Schizosaccharomyces pombe: one gene and its partner. The protein of the gene in region 1 interacts with the protein of each later gene in a biochemical or structural test. Each region holds a gene or a part of one and is shown on either strand. Other genes may lie near its edges. The genes, in order: hri1 and tif211.

Region 1 (5,144 bases):
AACAAAATGCCAAAAAATCTCAATCTCATTAGTTAAATCAAAGACTGAAAATGAGATTTAAAACAAGGATTAGCAACTTGTACACGTTGACGCGTAAGTTGGAAAAGATCAGCAGAAAGTTCGTTTACTAATCAAATTTAGGTCTTGTTCAGGCGCTAGATAAAATTGGAAGATTTTGCTGGCTTCGTCTGATGCCTGAAACTGTAAATTTTGTGATAGTGCCAGATTTTAGGATGACTCAAGTTTGGTCGTAAGTGAAGATATTAAGCATTTAACGGTGAAAAAAATCACATTGTGAAACTAATAAAGAAACAGAGTTTTAGAAGTCGTATGATTAACTATCTTTTTCTATTTGATTGCCCTAACTAACGTAAACGGAAAGGAAACAATATTTGAGGACTATGTCGTCCAAAGCAATGCAGACAACGTGATAAATCTAGAAGTTCCTATAGATAATTTCTATAAAGCCTTACGATCAGCGGCCAACGCTAGTGATTCTACTGTTCGTCTATCCAAGAAGAATAACCAGCCATTACTTTCGTTGTCTACCACTTGGAGTGGAAGGGCGTTTGGTTCGAATATTGTGACTCATAATATACCTGTTCGAGTACTATCACAATCATACGTGTCAGTTATTAAGGAACCAACTGCTCCTGAACCAGACTGTCATATATTCCTTCCACAACTGAATTTTCTAAGACACGTCGTGGACAAATACAAGAGTCTTTCAGACCGTATTATAATGTCAGCCAACATGTCAGGCGAATTGCAGTTATCGGTAAACATACCTTCAGCTAGAGTAAGCACAAAATGGAAAGGATTAGAGAATCCAGAGTTAGATCCTAGTCAAGTCGAAGACATCAGTCGACATCCCTCTCAAACAAGGGCACCCGAAGAATTTGTTCACATGAGACTAGACAGCAAGGACTTAGTCAACATGTTAAAAATATCCAGTGTTGCAAAGCGTGTAATAGCGTGTATGTACTATGAGAGAATCCTTTTTATGACCACGAACTAACCTTTTTACATTACAGGTTTCTGTGAAGGACATGCGCTAGTACTTTATGTTTATATAACAGATCCAGAAGATGAACATACGGCTGTTTTAACATACTACATTAGTACCTATGTGGACTAAGGTTACTTCAATTTGTTTATGATTTGATTTAATTAACGAATAATTGTTATGAGTGACTAGCCACATTTTTAATGTACATTAAAATGAAAAGAGATTAATCAACATCTACCATGCTTATACTTATTTTCTCTCTCTTCCTTTATCGATCTTACCGTTCTTTTTTATTTATTTTATACAGTTGTTGTAATCTCGGCAACTCAGTGTTTTACTATTCCGTTGATATCTCTTAAAAGGATAACACCAAAAAGAAATATAATGTTCAAGTCACAGAAAATCTGTTGATAAAATCCATATGTTTTCACGTTTTCAATGAGAGATACATACGATTAAACACAAACGTATGTTTTCAAGCAATTAACTTGAATATGAATAAACCTTGGTTCATCTTTCTTTAATCTTTTAGACAAGCAACTGTTCAGAAATCTATAAAGTCTCAATTGAACATTTAAGTGCTCAATGGGAAATATATACTTAATAAAAATTGAATATTTTAATCGTTTTTTTGAGAAGATATATGCCATTGACTGTAGCTTCTATTAATTTCCGCCTATTCTTTCTTGTACTTTGGAGGCATCGCTATACATTTTACGTAGAAGTGATGAAAATGGCGAGTTCCTCTTTAAAAGTGCGAAAATTTCAGGCTGTCTGTCATCGGAATTGACTATGTTCGATAGTTATTCCTCCTCCGATGCAGTCGGCTACACATGTAAACTGTACCAACATTCAGTACGAAAGGGGCTGAACGTTGTTACCTAGAAAAGTTGGTATCGCAATAGAGGTAACGATAGTGAAAATCCCACAATAACTTAAATATGGAGAGGTATCCGGGGAAATCCGCTACATAAACAACACATATACAGACATATAAATTGACTTAAACGTACCTTCTTTCTATAATAGTTTTACCGTTCCTTAATTGCAAATTCTTTCTTGTTTTCATAGATAGCATTGTTACTATTATTGTTATATATTCAATATAGACTGATAATTAGGATTGTACATTTCGTTTCATTTAGAGAAAAAAAAAAGGAATAATTTTCATGTTTTAAATTACTCATCTTATTCAATTCTTCTTTCTCTTTTCTTATTTGCTTTGATTTGATTCATTCACACAAGAATGCTCGGCACTTCTACTAAATGTTCGAAAAGGGATTGCAACTATGCCAAGGAAAATATCAGTCGGATTATGCCGACAATTGGTCTCGGTTACAAACAGAATTTCGAAAAAAAAACCGCGGATACTCAAAGTTCCTGCAAGTTGCTTCTCGTTGCGTTGTTAGAAAGCTTTTGTAAGCATTCTGATCAAACTCCAGAGCAATCGAAGCAAATGTTTTTATATGTTGCTCATTCGCTTCAAAATTCAGGTATCATAGATTTTGAGTTCTCCGAGGAGCTTGAACCAATTCGTAATGCTTATGCCGATTCTCTTCATAACCTCTTATCTAAAGCTTTTCGGAGTACCTTACCCATGAGCTCTACTAAGGATTCTAAGAAATCGAGGTATTCCAGCCCTGATGGCGTTTTGGCGAAAACTGCTTCCTTCTTGAGCGTATTGAGTGATGGTGGATACGAAGACGATGTGATGAATGTCAAGCCTTCAGTAAACGTATTGTCTAATAGGTTAAATCATTTACCAGTTGAAGCATTGGAATCTTGCTTTCCACAAACCACTTTGGAGTCCTCCACGTTTGCTGATTTTTGTGAGCACAAAGATGGAACCGGTAACTTGTCTTTTAGCAACTTTGATAGCTTTCCCACAGTCCAAAGGTCAAGATATGCAAGTGATTTTGAAGAACTTGAGTTACTTGGTAAAGGCGGTTATGGTTCAGTGTATAAAGCTCGAAATAAATTCGATGGAGTTGAATATGCTTTAAAAAAAATTCCACTTCGGTTACGTTCTTTCTCCACTTCTTCTAACATATTCCGTGAATCTAGGACCTTGGCAAGATTAAACCATCCCAATGTGATAAGATTCTTTTCTAGTTGGGTCGAGCTCTTACCGTCATCTGAAAAGCAAATCGAAGAAGAACCTTTAGCTTCGGCAGATGAGACATTATCTCAATCAGCAGATATAGATAATTTTATGTTTGATATGGATACTGGGTTACTTCAGCATACTTATCCTTCATCAGTTCAGATACTATTCCAAGAGGACTCGGTTGCAGATGATTTAACTCCTTGTTACTCTACCAAAAATTCGACTTGCAACTTGACTGATCTTTTCAAGAAAGAGGCCGATCAGGATTATGCCGAGTCACATGATTGTTCTTCAACAACATCACAAGTCGACACATTAGGAAAGTTGGCGCCAACGAAGTCAGCTTCTGAAATGTTACTTATGGATTCATTTCTATCCGAAAGAGAGGAAGATGAATGTTCCAATATTCCCAGCTTTGATCAACAGCCCTTATGTTTGTACATACAAATGGCTCTTTGCGAAGAAACACTCGAGAAACACATAAACAGACGAAATAAGCATATTCACGGTGTAATGTCTAAAGGCCTACGTAACTGTTATATTTTACTGTTTGCAAGGATTTTAGAGGGCGTTTTGTATCTTCACGATGCTATGCATTTAGTCCATCGTGATTTGAAACCTCGAAATATTTTTCTATCTAGTGGTGTACATTCTGAGCCTTGCTCTGTGTGTCTACCTAATTTTTCTGATGAAGATAATGTTGAGGTTAGCAATGCGTACGAACCAGTGAACCAAAGAACTTTATGTGTTGTGCCCAAGATAGGCGATTTCGGTCTTGTTCTTTCTCAGTCAGATAATTTGGAAGAGGGGACCAACTCCTCAGCTGAATCTTCTTTTGTCGGTACAAGTACGTATGCAGCTCCTGAACTTTTCTCAAAACACATGCGATCGGTAATGAATAACAACTCGTCTACTGACATATATGCATTGGGCATACTCTTTTTTGAATTACTGTATCCTTTTAACACGCGCATGGAAAGGGCATCAGCTATCGCCAATTTAAAAAAGGGCATTTTCCCCCATGATTTCTTGGATTCCATGCCAGAGGAAGCTAGCTTAATCCGGTCAATGCTCAGCTCTTCGAATAAGCGCCCAACTGCTGCTCAACTTTTGACTAGCAATCTATTTCATGATTTGGTAGTCAATGAGCTTCATGTATATCAAGCTTTATTGGAAGATGCTGAGAAACGAAATAACAATTTGAAAGCAGAACTAAACATACTTCGAGTTTTAAACCCCAATTACGACTGTTAGTATTAGTTACGAACTACTTTGGACTGCTTCAATTGTTTTTACAATTCGCTTTTGACAAGATTTAGTTGTTTATGTTATTTTATGTTTATATTTCCTACGTTTTATGTTTATCCACTGTTATGATTTGTTTATAGTGAGTTATCTTCCATGCTCTTGGAATGGTTTTTGGAGCTTTTAGGTGCGAAAGAGTAGTCTGCATTAAAGATTTTTCTTATTTTAATATATTAAATTGAAAGTTCATCTTGTACATTTTTTCGTTGCTAGTTTTCAGTTCAACAGTCTGATTGATTTTTTTAAGTTTTCTTGATCTTGATCTTGTACTCAAAATGTTTATCCTTTTTAATCAAACTGTCTTTCATTTATGGAAAACAAATATCAATCAAGCTATAAATTAAACAGCAGAAGCGATTGTTTAATTTTAGCGTGATAGTAAACTAGCACTTCATTAGGCGCCTTATTCTAAAGACACAGTATGTACGCCACCCTCTCAATGTCTTTTAAAAAACATTTATTAATAAATATAAACTAGAATGGACACTAAACTTATTTCCAGCATTATTCAGTTAATTCTGATATGGACTACTTTCAAGTTGTCGCTTTCCAATTACGTTTGTGTTTGAGCTTGAACTTATCGGAAAACTAAATAGTTTTCGAACACAGTTAGTATTTCTTTGTTCTTTAACGGGTACAATAAAATGGATCGTTGCATATGTAATTGTTGCTTTGAATCATATTACGTCGGTTAAACCGAACAAAGAAAGTTATGTTCTAAAT
Region 2 (3,722 bases), 1.7 Mb from region 1:
TTTGTTAATGTTAAAATATGAAAAACACAGTATTTTTATTTTATATATTTCTATAATGGTGCAAACTAACAGTAGCTCTTGTAGCTCAGTGGTAGAGCGCCTGTCTCGTAAACAGGAGGTCCAGTGTTCGAGTCACTGCCGGAGCAGTTTTTATATTTTTCGATCACAGATCGGCCTTTCTAATAAGCATTGAAAGCTACAAAATGAGTATACTAAGATACTTATTAATGCATATTCTTGTAAATAGGGTTTCTCACAATTCATCGAATATACATACTCAAATTCTGCCGTTACTAGTTGATTGCTGATTTCAAGGACATCTTGATTAATAAAATGGAAGAATCGCTGTAGGATCAACAGTTAATATTACCTTCGTTTTAAAAATGAGGAATCTCGTGCCGTTCAACCAAAGTAAAAATGAAACTTCGTCAAACTGCATGACTAAGTTTCCCCTTTCTGTTTTTGATGCTTTCATAGCACTGTCAAGAATACCGTTGCGCAAATATCTGGCAATTATATACATACCAGTTCATCGCGGCCTGATTTAAGTTTTGTACGTTTTATTGTTTTCAATTGTTTTTACTAGACAGCATACTGAAATATGCCTTCAACAGTTTTTAATTTTATCAGTTTGATTGAATACATCAGTTTCCCTAAATGCTTTCTATCTTTGCCTTCAAAAACTTATTGCTTATACATGTTATAAATATACTATTTAAACGTCTACGGCCATACCTAGGCGAAAACACCAGTTCCCGTCCGATCACTGCAGTTAAGCGTCTGAGGGCCTCGTTAGTACTATGGTTGGAGACAACATGGGAATCCGGGGTGCTGTAGGCTCATCTTTTTTTGTTGATGATTTGCTTCTTTTTATATTAACATATTTGGAAAATACTTGTAATTAATTTAAAGCGGCTTTTCTCATTCTAGGTACTAGATGAGTACTTTCGTTACAGCGCAATTCTTGTATTGACCAGGTACGAATCGGAATGGAGGACATCCCACAACAGACAAAAAATGAAATACAATTCACAAATTAGTACCACATCTTGTTCATTTTCATGAACAAGTGTTAAAGAACTTTTATATTTATATAAAAGACATATTCAACTGGTTGTCTTTACTAAGTTTAGATGCATTCTTGATTCAATGTATCTACGAGAAGCGCATTGAAAAAAAAAAGTTTGTTTGTAATAGTTTATATTCAAAGACTGTTGAAAACACATTTCCTCAACTATTCTTGAGTTTGGCATTGATAACCTTTTGAATTTCATTAATACGAGTTCTCACTTTTTTTTGTAATCCAAAAAACGGTGATGGATGGTTTGTAAGGCAATGGATTAACAACTTTTCAATAAAATAATTCTTTACTCTAGTCAAAGGAACAAGTGGAATCAATTAGACAGAGTCTTCTATTCGTAAACTTTCCAATTGTAATTTTCGTTTGAGGGAAAAGAAAGTTTAAGTATATTATCTGTAATTCTAAACGATGTAGTAAACTAGTAGTTTATTAAACACTTTAGTTTATTAAATACTTTACTGCTAGTTTATTCAGCGTTCGGCTGGTAAGCCAGTTATCACCGATCGTTATGTGCTTTTAGATACTAATAAATCTTCTTTAAGGAAACTTTTTAAATATAAAGAATAATTATTGATAAACAGTTAAGTTAAAATGACCAATGTCTGGGTTCTGAAAAGAAGCAAAATTGGCCCCTAGAGTTTAGAAGTGGGTAGTCCACACAAATTTTTACTCAGAACCAAACACTCAACACTTTGCAAAAATGTCGACGACAAGCTGCAGAATGTACGAGAATCGCTTCCCGGAAGTGGATGAACTCGTTGTTGTCAACGGTATGTAAAAAATGCACATGTTGTCTGTCTAAAGAAACGGTAATGGCTAATATTTCCAATAGTTCGTCAAATCCAGGAGATGGGCGCTTATGTAAAATTGTTGGAATACGATAATATTGAAGGAATGGTTTTGCTCTCTGAGCTTTCCAGACGTCGTATTCGTTCAGTACAAAAGCATATTCGCGTTGGTCGTAATGAAGTCGTCGTGGTCTTACGTGTCGACAAGGAAAAAGGTAAGAATTTATTAGTAGTTTTTTTTTTTTTTTTTTTTAAAAAAAAGAAAAACAAAAGGGGAAAAAAGGTTTATAAGTTGTTAGGAATGTACTAACCAGGATTAAGGATACATCGATCTTTCAAAGCGCCGTGTTAGCCCTGAGGATGTTGTAAAGTGCGAAGAACGCTTCAACAAATCTAAGGCTGTTCATTCCATTATGCGCCATATTGCTGAGAAGCATAATGTTCCTTTGGAGACCATGTATACCACAATTGGATGGCCATTATACCGCAAATATGGACATGCTTATGACGCCTTTAAGCTTGCTATTAGTAACCCAGATCATGTCTTTGAGGGTTTAGAACCTCCCAAATCGGGTGTTATTAATGATTTGTTGGCTCAAATCTCTCGTCGTCTGACGCCTCAGCCCATTAAAATTCGTGCTGACGTTGAAGTCACTTGCTTTGGCTACGAAGGTATTAACGCTATCAAGGCCGCTTTGAAGGCTGCTGAAGATGTTCATACCGAGGAGGTTCCTATCAAAGTTAAACTTGTTGCTCCTCCACTTTACGTCCTTTTGACAAACGCATTAGATAAGTCATTGGGTCTCAAAAAGCTAGAAGAGGCAATTGGTGCAATCGAAAAATCCATTACAGCATCCAATGGTACCTGTACTGTTAAAATGAAACCCAAGGCGGTTAGTGAAACTGACGAATTGGAGCTTGCCGATTTGATGAAAAAATTTGAAAAGGAAAATGCTGAAATCTCTGGTGATGAAGAGGATGACCAAAGCGGTTCTGAGTAAATGGATTAGACACTAGCTAATATACGCTTTTTCATTGTGAATTTTTGGCACTTTAGTGTTCCATTATAATCTGGGGTTCTTTTTATTTTGTACTATACACTTTATCAAATTTATCTAGTGATATCTATGGTTAAAAAATTTCCTCTTCTTTTTTCCGAATGCGTAAGAGTTCTTTTATATGTTACGAGATAATATGAAAACGCTAGACGCTGCATCTTGTTCCTTTGTATGTACAATAATAAGTTCAGTTCCAATATAGTAGAAATAATGGACAACAAATGCAATTACAAATAATAAAGTTACAAAAGACTTATTACTGTGGTTAGCTACGGCGTGTAATATCTGCTTTGGGGAGGATTGGGGAAATTAAAGAACTGAATTTCTTAATGTACAAGTAATCTGGTACTTATTATGTGAGTGAAAAACAAACAAGGACAAGAATAAGATAAAAAGGATTCGTAATCGTGAAGATATGATTAATAAATTAACCATTTTGCAAATCACATATACACAGCTTGAACAACGTATAATCAAATATAGTAAGTTCGGAACAGGTGAAAAATTAGCGGATATTAAAGCCCAAAAAAAAACAACAATGCTTGCATTCAATAATGGGAAGACCAACAGACTTTAGATTGGGGAAAAATTACTTAGCATCAACAAGCTTCTGATCCCTACAAGCTTCGCAATACCATGTACCTTCAGGAGGAGCTTTAAGACCAACACACTCCATATGGAACCATTCACGCTCACAATTAGCATTGTCACAAGCGACCATTTGCCCATATGATCCTTGCTGGCAAAAACAATACTTTTCATTATCCTCTTCCATATCTTCTTCTGAGACCATTT

What was found.
Region 2: of the proteins of hri1 (region 1) and tif211, one has a biochemical effect on the other in vitro, tested with the Schizosaccharomyces pombe proteins (2 studies listed by BioGRID).

What each region holds. Positions count from the first base shown.
Region 1 is NC_003424.3:4,817,485-4,822,628, reverse strand, and holds hri1 (eIF2 alpha kinase Hri1), read left to right. Parts: upstream 1-1,977; 5' UTR 1,978-2,255; coding exon 2,256-4,370; 3' UTR 4,371-4,617; downstream 4,618-5,144. Other genes in the region: checkpoint clamp complex protein Hus1, read left to right, coding at 51-93, 142-250, 316-328, 383-977, 1,035-1,138. UniProt on the Schizosaccharomyces pombe protein: Mediates down-regulation of protein synthesis in response to stress conditions by the phosphorylation of the alpha subunit of eIF-2 (tif211) on 'Ser-52'. Protein synthesis is inhibited at the level of initiation. Activity is inhibited in the presence of heme.
Region 2 is NC_003424.3:3,164,675-3,168,396, forward strand, and holds tif211 (translation initiation factor eIF2 alpha subunit), read left to right. Parts: upstream 1-1,753; 5' UTR 1,754-1,781; coding exon 1,782-1,851; exon of another isoform or gene 1,852-1,913; coding exon 1,914-2,084; exon of another isoform or gene 2,085-2,190; coding exon 2,191-2,870; 3' UTR 2,871-3,025; downstream 3,026-3,722. Other genes in the region: png1 (chromatin modification-related protein), read right to left, coding at 3,517-3,722. UniProt on the Schizosaccharomyces pombe protein: eIF-2 functions in the early steps of protein synthesis by forming a ternary complex with GTP and initiator tRNA. This complex binds to a 40S ribosomal subunit, followed by mRNA binding to form a 43S pre-initiation complex.